Macaca fascicularis: one gene and its partners. The protein of the gene in region 1 interacts with the protein of each later gene in a pairwise test. Links are inferred from orthologs where the notes say so. Each region holds a gene or a part of one and is shown in the gene's direction. Other genes may lie near its edges.

Region 1 (3,500 bases):
GCAGAAAGGAGGAGGAGATCCTGGGAAGAAGCATTGTCTCCACCACCCTTTCAACCAGGCAAGGGATTTGTAGAGAAGCTTCTGGGATCTCTGAAGTGTCTACAGTGGTTCCCATCTTAATGGAAAGTGGGTGCTCCCTTTTCCTGTGAAGCTATGGGGAGAGTGGAACACAGACAACTCAGACAACTCACATTGAACACAGACAACTCACATTGGGAGGTACAGCCCTAAAGGACCACAGCCCCTAGGCTGGACAACTCCTTCAGTTCACCCAACCCCATTTGCTGGGGCCCCTGTTCTTCCTGGGTTGCATGCCCAAGAGAAGGACCAAATAGATGAAGAGGGAGGAATTTGTTCAAAGTAGTTGTGTACTAATAAGTGAAAGAGGATTGGGTAAAAAAAGAGTCACTGTAGGGGTGGGAAGCAACAATTTAGGTGCACACCCAAGACTCTTTAGTTCTGGCAGCTGTTTGAAATGGCTTATTGGCCAACAGACATAGTGGTCCTGAGAGGTGAGGTGTGATGCCCTCTACATATGCTCAGAGGATTGGCTCACAGTCCCGGAGCACCGGGCTGCACCCTTGCACTCTGACATGCTGGAAGTCATGTTTCCTGGAGCTAGTACAGCATTGTCATGAGAGTAGGAGCTTCACAGGTAACGCAGCCCTCATCCTGCCCTACTCCCACCCCACAGAGTCTGGAGGTGGTGCTGTACTACAAAGCCAGCCAGAGGAAATTAGATGGACTAGCAAAAGAGGAGGAAAAGAAAGAGGAGATGAAAGAGGAAAAAAAGGAGGAAGTGAAAGAGGAAGCAAAGGAGCAGTGTGGGGATGAGCTAGTTGCTGAGCCAGCAGATCCTGGGGAAGCTAAATCCACAGAAGATCAGGAGGAAAATGAAGAGGACAAAGAGCAAGAGGAGAAGGAAGAAGACAGTGAAGAGGAGGAAGATGACATTGACTCTTCCCTTGAAAGTCCTGAAGAAAACAACCCCCTCAGACTTTCCGAGAGTAAAAAGGTAACCGGAGCCAAAGGCTAGATCAAGTGGGAAGTGGGATCTTGGGCTCAGGTACCTCAGAGTTAATGGGTGGCCCTGCCAAGGATAGATATCTCCAGGAGTGGAGGCCTCGCACTGTAAGGCACGGCCCTTCGGGGAGGTGGAGATGCAGAAGGGGGAGGCGAGAGCAGTCTGTCTGCAGGAAATCACGGGCTCAGCCCCATTTGCTGTGGAACCACCTCACAATGACCACCTTTTCTGGGAACCAACGTGGGGTCCCTGGAGTCCTTTCATTTACATAGTAGCCTTTGTTACCTTCCTTATGTGGGGAGCGTTCCCTCATCCCTCTTTCGGCACTGCAGGAAGGACATTGACAGCGTGAAGTCTACTTCAGGCCATTTTTGTCAGCCTGGGCAAGTCACTCAGTCCGGTTTTCCTATGGTGCCCTGTTAGGTTTAACCTTTGTTGTCGCTGTTAGGGGTGTGTCAGGGGATAATCTCTTCTTTGTAGGCTTGTGTCGCCCCCTGGATTCTGGGTATCACAGGACATGAAGGTGGGGCCTGGGAGTGATCAAGAGTGATAGTGAAAATATTTCACGTCTGTACAGTAGGAGCATAGACTAGTCCAAGGAGACCATCCCTAGCCCTACAGTTGCTAGATCACTGAGAGGTTGGGGTGGAGGTATCCTGGGATATATATGCTAGAATGCCAGGGGTAACTTACCAACAATATAGAAGTACTTCCATATTTTATTAACTGGTACATCTCTGCAGGTATGTAGCAACTGAATTCTTGCCCTGGGCTTAACTCAGGGCCAGAGTCTCTACAGAGTTAGAGTATTTCCTGTGTAAGTCCTCAGCTTACATTACAGGTTCTTTCTGTTCTAAACAGAGGTAAAGAAAAAAGCCTCTTGTCCAGTCAACTCTGAGGATATCTGGAATTTCCGGCAATTGGGTCTTCAGCACTGGCTAAGGATCCAGTGTGCAGTGCTCTGCTTACCTTGTGCCAGGGGACCATTACCTAAGATGTGAAAAGTCGGAGCCACTGCAGCCCCTCCCACTATCATGTTTCCTTGAGCTCATCATATTCCACCATGTGCTGGTTCAGAGCCTTTACCTTCGGTGCCAACATTTCTAAAGCTAGACCTGACTTTTCTACTTCAAATACATTCTATGTTTCTATATATGGAGAGATCCCTTTGCCCCGTGGGTCCTGCGTCTTTTGCAGGCAGCTCTAGGGCATGCGTATTACCACTTTGCAAAAGCAGTTTCTCTCCGGAAGACTGTTGCAGCGAAAGAACTAGCCCTTCTCCCTTGTCAGTTTGTTTTGGTGCATGTTGTTTTACAATGATATCATTAGATTCCTAGGCGATCAAAGGGACAAGAGCCCAAAATACTAAGAAACTTGATGGAAAGCAGGCTAGAACAAAGGGACAGGTGGCCTGGTAGAAGACTGGCTCTTCCTAGAGCAACCTAGGAAAAGTATCTGCACTACTCCACTAAGGAAGCTGTTTACTTTCTGCAGCATCACAAGAAAGGTCTAGGTGCAGATACGTCCTGCTTGACAAGATATGAGAGGTATATGATGAGACAGAAAGAAAACTGGACTCACCGCCTGACTTGGACCTAGCTGCTGCTTAACCCATTCAATTTTGCAATTCCTGCAGACTGCCGGTGGAAAGAACCAAGGCCCAGGCAGCAGAAAAGACATGCAACTGCTCTAGCTTACCTGTTTTTTAACCTCTTGATTCCTTTCTCTTTTCCCTTTGTTTTCTCATCTTCATTATCTGTTGGATCCATGTGTTTATGTCTCACATCTCCTGGTCTCTCCTCGTGCTTCTTTCTCATTTTGGTGTGTTGCAGTCATCCCCTACCCCCGATCCCCCCATCTTCTCCTTGCCTCTTGTAGGCCTGGTGGTCATCTCGGCTTTGCTCTGGTGCTGGTGGGCTGAGACGTCGTCCTAATGCAGGTACTGGTATTGCTTCCTCTCCTTCTGAGGGATAGAGGGAGGGTGCAGGTTGCCCTGGCCTCTCCTCTTTCCCTTTTCTCCCAGCTGCTTGCTTCTTGCTCGTACTATTTTACAACAGGTGATGCTCAGGTCTGAGTTTTAGTTCTGACTTTTCCTTGGGCTACTGCAAAGCCTGTGACATCTCTGAGCATGTCTTTGTAATGCATAGGAGGTTGGAATGCTTGCCAGAGACATGGTTTGAGTTTCAATCCTTGGCTGGGAAAAACTTGGCTAAGCCCAGCTCGGTTGCTACTGTCAAAGCTGCCTCACTACTTCTTTTTCCCCGCTCATCCTCTGTGTGATGGCTAGCCTGACCACTTCTGATGAGCTGATGTTTGTCTGCAAGGCTGGCCTGGACTCTCTTTGTCTTTAACTCCAGAGTCAAGTTCTCACTACTGTTGCTACCCAGGATGGCAAAATAAGGAATCCCTCTTCTGTTGGGGGAGAGAGGAGGTCTGAAGAGCTCTGATCCTCATGATCATCCCAGGGGCACTGGTA
Region 2 (4,122 bases), on another chromosome or scaffold:
AGAAATCAAATCGTCATGAAAACACACATATGGGTAACATTTGGAACCACTGGTGTCTTCAGCCGATCTACAAGCTAGATCACCCTCTCACCCTCTCCTTGTACACTAAAGGGCAGTCTTCCTTCTGGAAAACAAAGTTGGAAAGTTGCAACCTTGCAGCTCTGGCTTTGGTGGACGGAGAATTTCGGGGAAGCGTTCTCCTCCGTCTCGCGGGGTCAGCGGATATCCTCACGTTGTGGAGCTGTCAAATCCGTGCTCTGCCCCAAAAGGCTGGTAACAGTTGAACGCCCTCCAGCCATTCGGGGCTTTTTTGTCTGTGCAGCCACCGGGTTCTCTCGAGCTTTCCCACCCCGCCCCTCCTCCGACACCAGTCCCCGCCCTCCGCAGCTCCTCCCAGCGCCTCAGCAGCCGGCCGGGCGCCGGCAGGGAAGGCTCGCCGAACCCTGGCCCACTGGCCGCAGCGGCCGGAGGCTTTGGCGCTGCTGGAGGGCGGCAGTCTCGGGCAGCCGCTGTCTCGGCGGGCGGCGACGAAAAAAAGCGTCCCCAGCCCCGCCAATTCCGGACCCCCGGGAAGACGCTACTTCTCCGATCCCTGCACCCTCGCCCACCACCGCCGAGCCAGAGGGCATAGGGCGGCCCTGGCAATCCTCGAGCGCAGGGCTGGGCCGCGGAGCTGGCGGGGCGGCGGGGCCCAAGGCGCAAAGCCCGCCCTTCGCCCAGCCCCATCGGTGGGGATCAGCCCAGAGGGCGGGAGCAGGGAGGGGAGACGGGGTCCTCACCCCCAGCCCCTCCCCTTTCTCCGCCCGGCACAAACCGGGAGCCACCCCGGCCCCAGCGCCTTCTTCCCCGCCCAGGCAGACGCGACCCGCCGAGGCAAAGCCATTGGAAAAAGCCCCGCCCTCTGGCAGGCTACCTCCGGACCCCCAGTGCGCCGCGCGCGGCTGCCAACCGCTGCCGGCTGCTACGCATGCGTGACTTAGAACAGGGCACAAGCGCCTCCGGAGGCTCTAAGCTTGCGCCCTGGGGCGGTTTCCGTTCCCGGATGTTTGGAGTGTGTCCTGGAGAAGGGGAAGGAAAAAGTAAGGCGTAGAAGTACACTGAGACTTCGTCACACACAAAACAAGCACGACAAAGAAAAAGGGCACGAAGGGACTCCTGGACGAAATTGAGTCTACATTTAAGATCACCGTAAAAGTAGTGACGGCCTCTTTATTACTCCAAACCCCAGATTTAAGTCGGTGGGACGTCTTCGCGTTGACTTGTGGGGAATGTAGTTTTGATGCTGCCGGCGCGTTTTGTTTGCGACAGAAACTACAATCCCCAGAGGCCACTGCGACGTCGCCTGTGGCTGCCCGCGAACCAACGGTTAGCGGTGGCAGGGGCTGACTGAGAGTGTCTGCTTGGTAAGCACTGTAGGCTGGGTTGTCACCTTTCCTTGACAGGGTTTTTCCTTCCTCCATTTCCTCTGGGATTTTGGAGACGAAGCCATCTAGCGTGGCCTCCCTTAGTCCAAGGATTTTTCCAGTGGCTTGCGTGGGAAGGACTAGTCCAGCTGCCCAAGCGCGGGGTGTGGTGGGTGAGGCGAGGATTTAGGGATCCTGATCCCGAGGGTCGCAGGGAGCGGCCTAAGAAGGAAGGATGCTGTGGAAACTGGAGCTTCGGGCTGCTGCTTCTGCTTCCACCCTTTTCTGTGGGCAGGCGCGGGATGGATTTGGGATCTCTGCGCATTTGCACCTTTGTTTGCCTTTGCTTAGGGATGTGCTGGGCTTTATTTGCTTTTAGAAAGTCATTATTTGAGAAAAGTCGAGGTTTGAACGGCCATCAGTGGACTGATAATCGGTGTAGATTTTAATTCTTTATGTTGCAGAATTGCATTACATTAAATTCTAAAACTTTCATCTTGCTAGGCACTGAATATACAACAATGAGAAAGACAGTCTTATCCAGTTAAGAGGAACCAGTTGTTAGACATACAGTTACAATACTATATGATATCACTGGGATGCCTAGAAGGAGATCACTTAGCCCAGTCTTGGAAAGCCAGGGAAATCTTCATCCCAGCGGAAATGAAGATCAAAAGAACAGCATATGCTAAGGCCCAGAGCGAGAGATAGGGTACTTTCAGGAAACGTCAGTAAGCCAAATCATACATACTTGGCGGTGTGGGGTGGGAAGGGAAGGGTGCTTTTTGTGTATTGATGTACTTTGAAGCTACAAAGAGACACATATTGTGAATTCTTTACATTGTTTCTGTAAGTGAGCTATTTTTGAATAGATGCATAGTTCTGATGAATTGGTCGAATTTCAAAAGCCTGTTACATTCTAACACTTCTAGTTTGAATCCGAATTTTGAAAAGGGAATAACTTATGAATGTGATTGAGAAAACAAAACAAAACCATTCCGTTTTTATCTCCTTTTTGGGATGATCATCCTCTATCCAGCCCATAAAGGGTAGGGTAGTTTCTTAAGGCTGGGTGCCTTTTTATGCTGTAGTTAAATATGATCTCACGTGTACCCATGGCTTCACCAACACTTATGACTCTCAAATGAATAGCTCCATTCAGCTTCACCTCTCAGCTTTCACATATCTATCTCTTGGATATTTCTTCTTGGATATCTCAAAAGCATCTCAAACTCAACATTCCTAAAATCAAATACATAGTTATCTGTTACAAATCTGATTCTTTTTCAGTGTTCCTTATTTCAGCAAAGGACACTACCATCCATCTACTTGTGAAAATTTGAAAGCCAAACATTATTCTTTATTTCTTCTTGCCCTTCATACTTTTATGGCTAAATTATTACCAAGTTCTGCCAATCTTATCTCCCAAAATATCCTTCAAATATATTTTTCTCTCCACCTGTCTTCAAACTGTGGTAATCTCTCAAGACCACTACAGTAGCAGTTATTCACAATGACCCTCCTCCATTAGTTCTCCATTATAGCTACCAGAATGATTTTTTTGAAACTGCAGATCTGATCAGATTTTCTCTTGGTTAAAACTATTCAGTGGTGTCCTGCTACTGTTAAAATAAAGGCAAAACTCCTTTATAAAGCCTGACATCATCTGGTACTCTTTCAGACTCACTTCATATACTGCTCTCCAGATCAACCATACAGACCATTTTTCACTCATTGGTTCTCATATTCCATTTCACCCACACATTTACTCAACAAATTTCTGTTGAGTCCCTTTTATATAACAGGACATTGAGGATACAGCACTGACCACAATATATAAAAATTCTTACTGTCATAGAGCTTACATTCTACTGAGAAGAGATAGTAAATAAATATGTAAAACATTTAGTAAATGAAATGAAGACAAATGCAGTGGAGAATAAAACAACTGGGAAGGGGAATGGGGAGTGTCAGGATGTGAGGGGCTAGGTTTACTTTTAAATAAAGTGGTTAGAAAAGACCTAATCCAGAAGGGGACAATTGAGGAGATATGAAGTAGGGGAGGGAATAAACCATATAGATGCCTGGGCAAATAGCATTCTAATGAAGAGAGTTAGTGCAAAGGCAGGAGCCTGAGTGCACATTTGAGAAATAGCAAGAAGGCTAGTGTGGCTGGAACACAATGAGTACAAAGAGAATAACATGAGGTCACAGAGAAAGGAAGTAATGGTGGGAGAACATGTACGTGACTGAAAGGACTAACATTTTTAATTGAGTTGGGAAAGCATTGGAGAGTTTTGTGCAGATGAGGGCATGATCTGACTTTTTTAAAATGACTACTTTTCTTTCTCTCTCTCTCTCTTTCTTTTTCTCTCTCTCTTCGATGGAGTTTTGCTCTTGTTGCCCAGGCTGGAGTGCAATGGCACAATCTTGGCTCACTGCAACCTCCACCTCCCAAGTTTAAGCAATTCTTCATCCTTGGCCTCCCAAGTAGCTGGGATTACAGGCATGCACCACCATACCTGGCTAATTTTGTATTTTTAGTAGAGACAGGGTTTCACCATGTTGGTCAGGCTGGTCTCGAATTCCTGACCTCAAGTGATCCACCCACCTCAGCCTTGCAAAGTGCTGGATTACAGACATGAGCCACCGTGCCTGGCCTCTTTCTTTTTGCCTGAGGCAGAGTCTCACTGTGTCACCCAGGCTGCAGTGAAGTCAT
Region 3 (4,118 bases), on another chromosome or scaffold:
AACTGTATTTTTATCCACACAACTACAGTTTCCCCCCCCCGCCAAGAATCAAAGGTCGAGAATGCTGTAAAAACGGATCCTTGCTCATCTAAGAGGAATGGCCCACAATCGAAGCGAACGCTCATCCCCGCCAGGTCCGCATCCCTGGGCCCACGCCGTCAGGCCCCACGCACCGGCGCGCGCTGTCAAAGGCGCTTCCTCCCTGGAACGCGGGATTCCGGGGACAGTGTGTGCACCCAAGTTTAAAAGTTGTCACACTCTTGTTGGAAAGAAATGGAAACATCACCAGCAGGAGGGTGGCCACTGAAGACTCCCGCCCACACCAGCTGGCAACCAAAGGCGCTTGCGGGGATCTACGGGCCGACCTTTAACTCAACACAAGCCCCCCAAGCTCTGCGGCCTTAAAACAACACCCGCCCGGCCGGTGCGGAGTTCCCACCACCTCCACGCCTGCCTGGCCCGTGACTCGAGACCCTGGCGGCGGGCCGGGCTCCCTCCGCCTGAGCAGGGACCCGACGAGCGCATCCCACGACCCTCAGCAGCAGTTGCAGGCCTGGCAGACCTGCACCCCATGCACACCCAGACAGCCGCGTTCCCGCCGCGGGGCTGGGCGAGGCCCGCGGCGCCTGCGCACTCGGTGACCGGGCCGCCCTGCGCCTCGGTGCGCACGCAGCACCACGTGACCCACTGCCAGTACCCAAGATGGAGGCAACGGCGAGGCCTGGCCAGCTCCCCGCCTCAGCCTGCACCCCATTGTGTGCCCTCTAAGCGCGAATTAGGCTCGCAAACACGCGGTGCTGACCGCTAGGTAGCCATGCGGGCTACCGAGTGGGACTAGACACGGCCGGGGCCCGTGTTTACGGTCACTACTGGCTCCGGGTCTCTGCGCCTCCTCAACCGCGAAGCACCCAGAGGCTGGCGCCTGGAGCGTCTTTTGGTACGCCCCGCCCCCTAGAATTGACAGCTCCAGCAGCCAATGAGGTCCAGGATGCGTGCGGGGAGGCGGGCAGGGGTGGAGCCTCTCCGCCGCTCACGGGGCGTCCGGCCCCGCGGTTGGGCAGCCGCGGGGCGAGGGGTGGGAGCAGACGGGCCGTGCGCAGGTTTCAACGGACCAATGGAAGGCCGGCCAGGCGCCCGGGGCGGGCGGGCGGGAGGCGGGGCCGAGCCGTAATTGACGAGCTCTTCATTAGAAACCAGGCGGGAGGGCGGGGCCCATATGGGGAGGTGACGCAAGGCTGCCGCAGCCAGTGGTTGCCGAGCCGCCGGCGGGCGGGGCGGGGCCGGGTCGGCTGACGGGCGTGCAGGGTGGCCTATCGCCGCCCGGCTCGACGCTGGAGGGGGGAGAAGCATCATGGTTCAACGTGGGTCAATTTTTTGTGAATGAGGAGGGGAGGTTGTGGGGCCGCCGCCGCGGAGCACCGTCCCCGCCGCCGCCCGAGCCCGAGCCCGAACCCGCGCGCCCGCCCGCGCCGCCGCCGCCGCCGCCGCCCGAGCAGCCTCCCAGCCTGGGCCCCCGGCGGCGCCGCGGCCGCGTCCCGGCTGTCGCCGCCCGAGCCCGAGCCCGCGCGCCGGCGGGTGGCGGCGCAGGCTGAGGAGATGCGGCGCGGAGCGCCCGAGCAGGGCTAGAGCCGGCCGCCGCCGCCCGCCGCGGTAAGCGCAGCCCCGGCCCGGCGCCCGCGGGCCATTGTCCGCCGTCCGCCCCGCGCCCCGCGCAGCCTGCAGGCCTCGGAGCCCGCGGCAGGTGGACGCCGCCGGTCCACACCCGCCCCGCGCGCGGCCGTGGGAGGCGGGGGCCAGCGCGGGCCGCGCGCCGTGGGACCCGCCGGTCCCCAGGGCCGCCCGGCCCCTTCTGGACCTTTCCAGCCGCGCCGCGAGGCGGCCTCGCCCGCCGGGGCGGGGGCGCGGGGGTGGGCACGGCAGGCAGCGGCGCCGTCGCCCGGTGCCGGGCCCGCGCCCCCCGAGCAGGTGGGCTCCGGGCCGCCGGGAGTGAGGGCGGGGGCGGGCGGGCGCCGGGGCCGGGCGGGCGCCGTTTATGTAACTTTGTCAAATGCTGTGAGTTTGCAGAAAAACGTCCCTGCCGGGGTCCGCGGCCCCTCGCGTGTCGTCGCCGCTGCGAGCGCCTGGGGGTTCGCGGGAGGCGGGGGTGCTGCCCGGGACCCCCTCGGCTCAGCCCGCAGGGCGCCCGCAGGCCGAGACGGGGCCCGGTCCAGCTCGGGGGTGGGATCCGCGTTTCCCCGCGTTGCGAAAACACACCACGGAATCATAAGCAAATTATCTCGTATTTACATTGAGCGTTGAATTATTTGACACTGTTATAGCAGGAGACCGTGCGTATCAGTTGGAAAGGCCGGGGGTGGAACCCAGTGTACTCATTTAATGCACATCAAAAATTTGTAATAACTTGAGGCAGCTGATATGAGTGTTTTCTTTATTGCATGTTGTAAATTGACCTGCTGTGACACAATTTTCAAATAAAGCGTTGCAGAAATTAAACTTAAGTTATTTTAAAACTAATGACTTTCTTAACTAAATCCTAATTGCATGACTGTAGAGACCTACCTAATTGCTTGCTGAGAGCAGTTCTGCTTGCTCTCCGTGAGGGAGGAAAGGGCCTGTGTAGTCACTTTGCCGCCCCGTTTTTCTCTATTCAGGCTTTTCTGTTTATTCCCACAAATCACCGAAGCAGTTAAGGCCTGGGAGTAAACCTGTAAACAGCCCTGGCCCAGCGCCAGCCCAGCAGGACTGGGGGGATACTGGCAGGTTTGCACCTTGACCTGGTTTCACTTTTTCTTTTGTAATATGATCGTGGTTGCCTGGAGTTTTAATTGCTTCTGATAATTCTGTGCATTATTTTCGGGACTGTCCAAAGAAGGCTGGTGTGGTGGTTTCAGGACCCAGCCAGGAAAGGTGGTGGTGGTGACTGGGGAAAGGGAGGGTGGAAGGGAGGGAGATCGAATTAAGAAAACTCAGCTGCTTGTACACAAATATACACTACAGCAGTTACAAAGCAACAAAAGTTATTGCAGAATTTTGCAGTAACTATGGCAACACAATTACTCTATTATAATTGGAAATGCAGAATGCCACCCAGTTAGAAGTTTCATCAGAATGGAGTTTTGGATATCAAAAATATGTGAAATTTAATTTTTTTTCAGGTAGCTCCTGTGAATTCTAAAATCTGTGTTCAATTACCTATTTTTAAGACTGATCGAGCCTTCCCAGATATTCTACTCTCTGGGATCTGTGGCATCTTTCCCCAGAAGAACTCACATTTGTGTGGGAGGGAAGTATTTTCATGCCTTAAAAACACACACCCCAACACATTGTAAGACTTCTATAGCTTTCTGTGTTCTGGGCTTTTATTTTAGAGATCAAATCCCATCCTAAAGAGAGCAGTAATCAATTAGAAAAGAAGCCGGCTGTACTCAGCAGGCAGAGGCAACGCTGCCCTCTTTAGGGTTCTTTCTTCTGCAAGGGGAGCTGGCAGCAGGCATGCCCCCCGGGGAGCCCTGGGCTAAGGGGCGGGGCAGAGGGAAGATGACTGGACTGCACATAGGCCTGGAAGGCCTGGGGACGAAGGGCAGATGTGGCCTCGGAGTCCTGAACCAGGGACAATGTTCTGTGTTCAGCAGCTTCCTAGCCATGCAAAATAAAAATCCGCAAATGCCATGTTCTCGGAGGCCTTGGGGGCTGTTGCTGTAGCAAGATGGGCAGAACAACCTGGCACACTGGCCACGTGCGGCTCAGGCAGCCCATCTGGACTCTCTGTGGCCAGAGACCTGGTTGGGAAGGATGCTCTATGGATGTTTACCAGGAGGGCTCTAGTGCTGGAAGTTTCCACACATTGTGGGGTTGCTGCATTTAATTTCGTTATAACTCTTTCCTTTTAACTACTGCATATTTATGCCCAGTAATCGACTTCCATTCTCCAGCTTCATTGTGAGGTTTCAATGCAGCATGAATGGCTTTGAATTCCAATCCTTTGATGTTGGGGGTGGCACCAAAGGAAAGGCGACTTTATGCTGTCTTAATTGCCGGAGCAGAAGAAGCATTTCATCACTCCTGTAGAATTCGTCCATACCGTTCTCTATTGAAAACGGCTGGGCTTTCATAGCTCA

What was found.
Region 2: the proteins of CCDC136 (region 1) and CEP57L1 interact in binary tests that used the Homo sapiens proteins (3 or more experiments, as listed by UniProt). The two-hybrid records come from large-scale screens. The link is inferred for Macaca fascicularis from reciprocal best matches to the Homo sapiens genes CCDC136 and CEP57L1.
Region 3: the proteins of CCDC136 (region 1) and HDAC4 interact in binary tests that used the Homo sapiens proteins (3 or more experiments, as listed by UniProt). The two-hybrid records come from large-scale screens. The link is inferred for Macaca fascicularis from reciprocal best matches to the Homo sapiens genes CCDC136 and HDAC4.

The regions. Positions count from the first base shown.
Region 1 is NC_088377.1:170,274,989-170,278,488, forward strand, and holds part of CCDC136 (coiled-coil domain-containing protein 136), read left to right. Parts: intron 1-694; coding exon 695-1,015; intron 1,016-1,885; coding exon of another isoform or gene 1,886-1,891; exon of another isoform or gene 1,892-2,518; coding exon of another isoform or gene 2,519-2,623; exon of another isoform or gene 2,624-2,856; coding exon of another isoform or gene 2,857-2,958; exon of another isoform or gene 2,959-2,963; intron 2,964-3,500. UniProt on the Homo sapiens protein: May play a role in acrosome formation in spermatogenesis and in fertilization.
Region 2 is NC_088378.1:13,195,472-13,199,593, forward strand, and holds the start of CEP57L1 (centrosomal protein CEP57L1), read left to right. Parts: upstream 1-1,322; 5' UTR 1,323-1,403; intron 1,404-4,122. UniProt on the Homo sapiens protein: Centrosomal protein which may be required for microtubule attachment to centrosomes.
Region 3 is NC_088386.1:135,306,147-135,310,264, reverse strand, and holds the start of HDAC4 (histone deacetylase 4), read left to right. Parts: upstream 1-1,318; 5' UTR 1,319-1,361; exon of another isoform or gene 1,362-1,965; intron 1,966-4,118. UniProt on the Homo sapiens protein: Responsible for the deacetylation of lysine residues on the N-terminal part of the core histones (H2A, H2B, H3 and H4).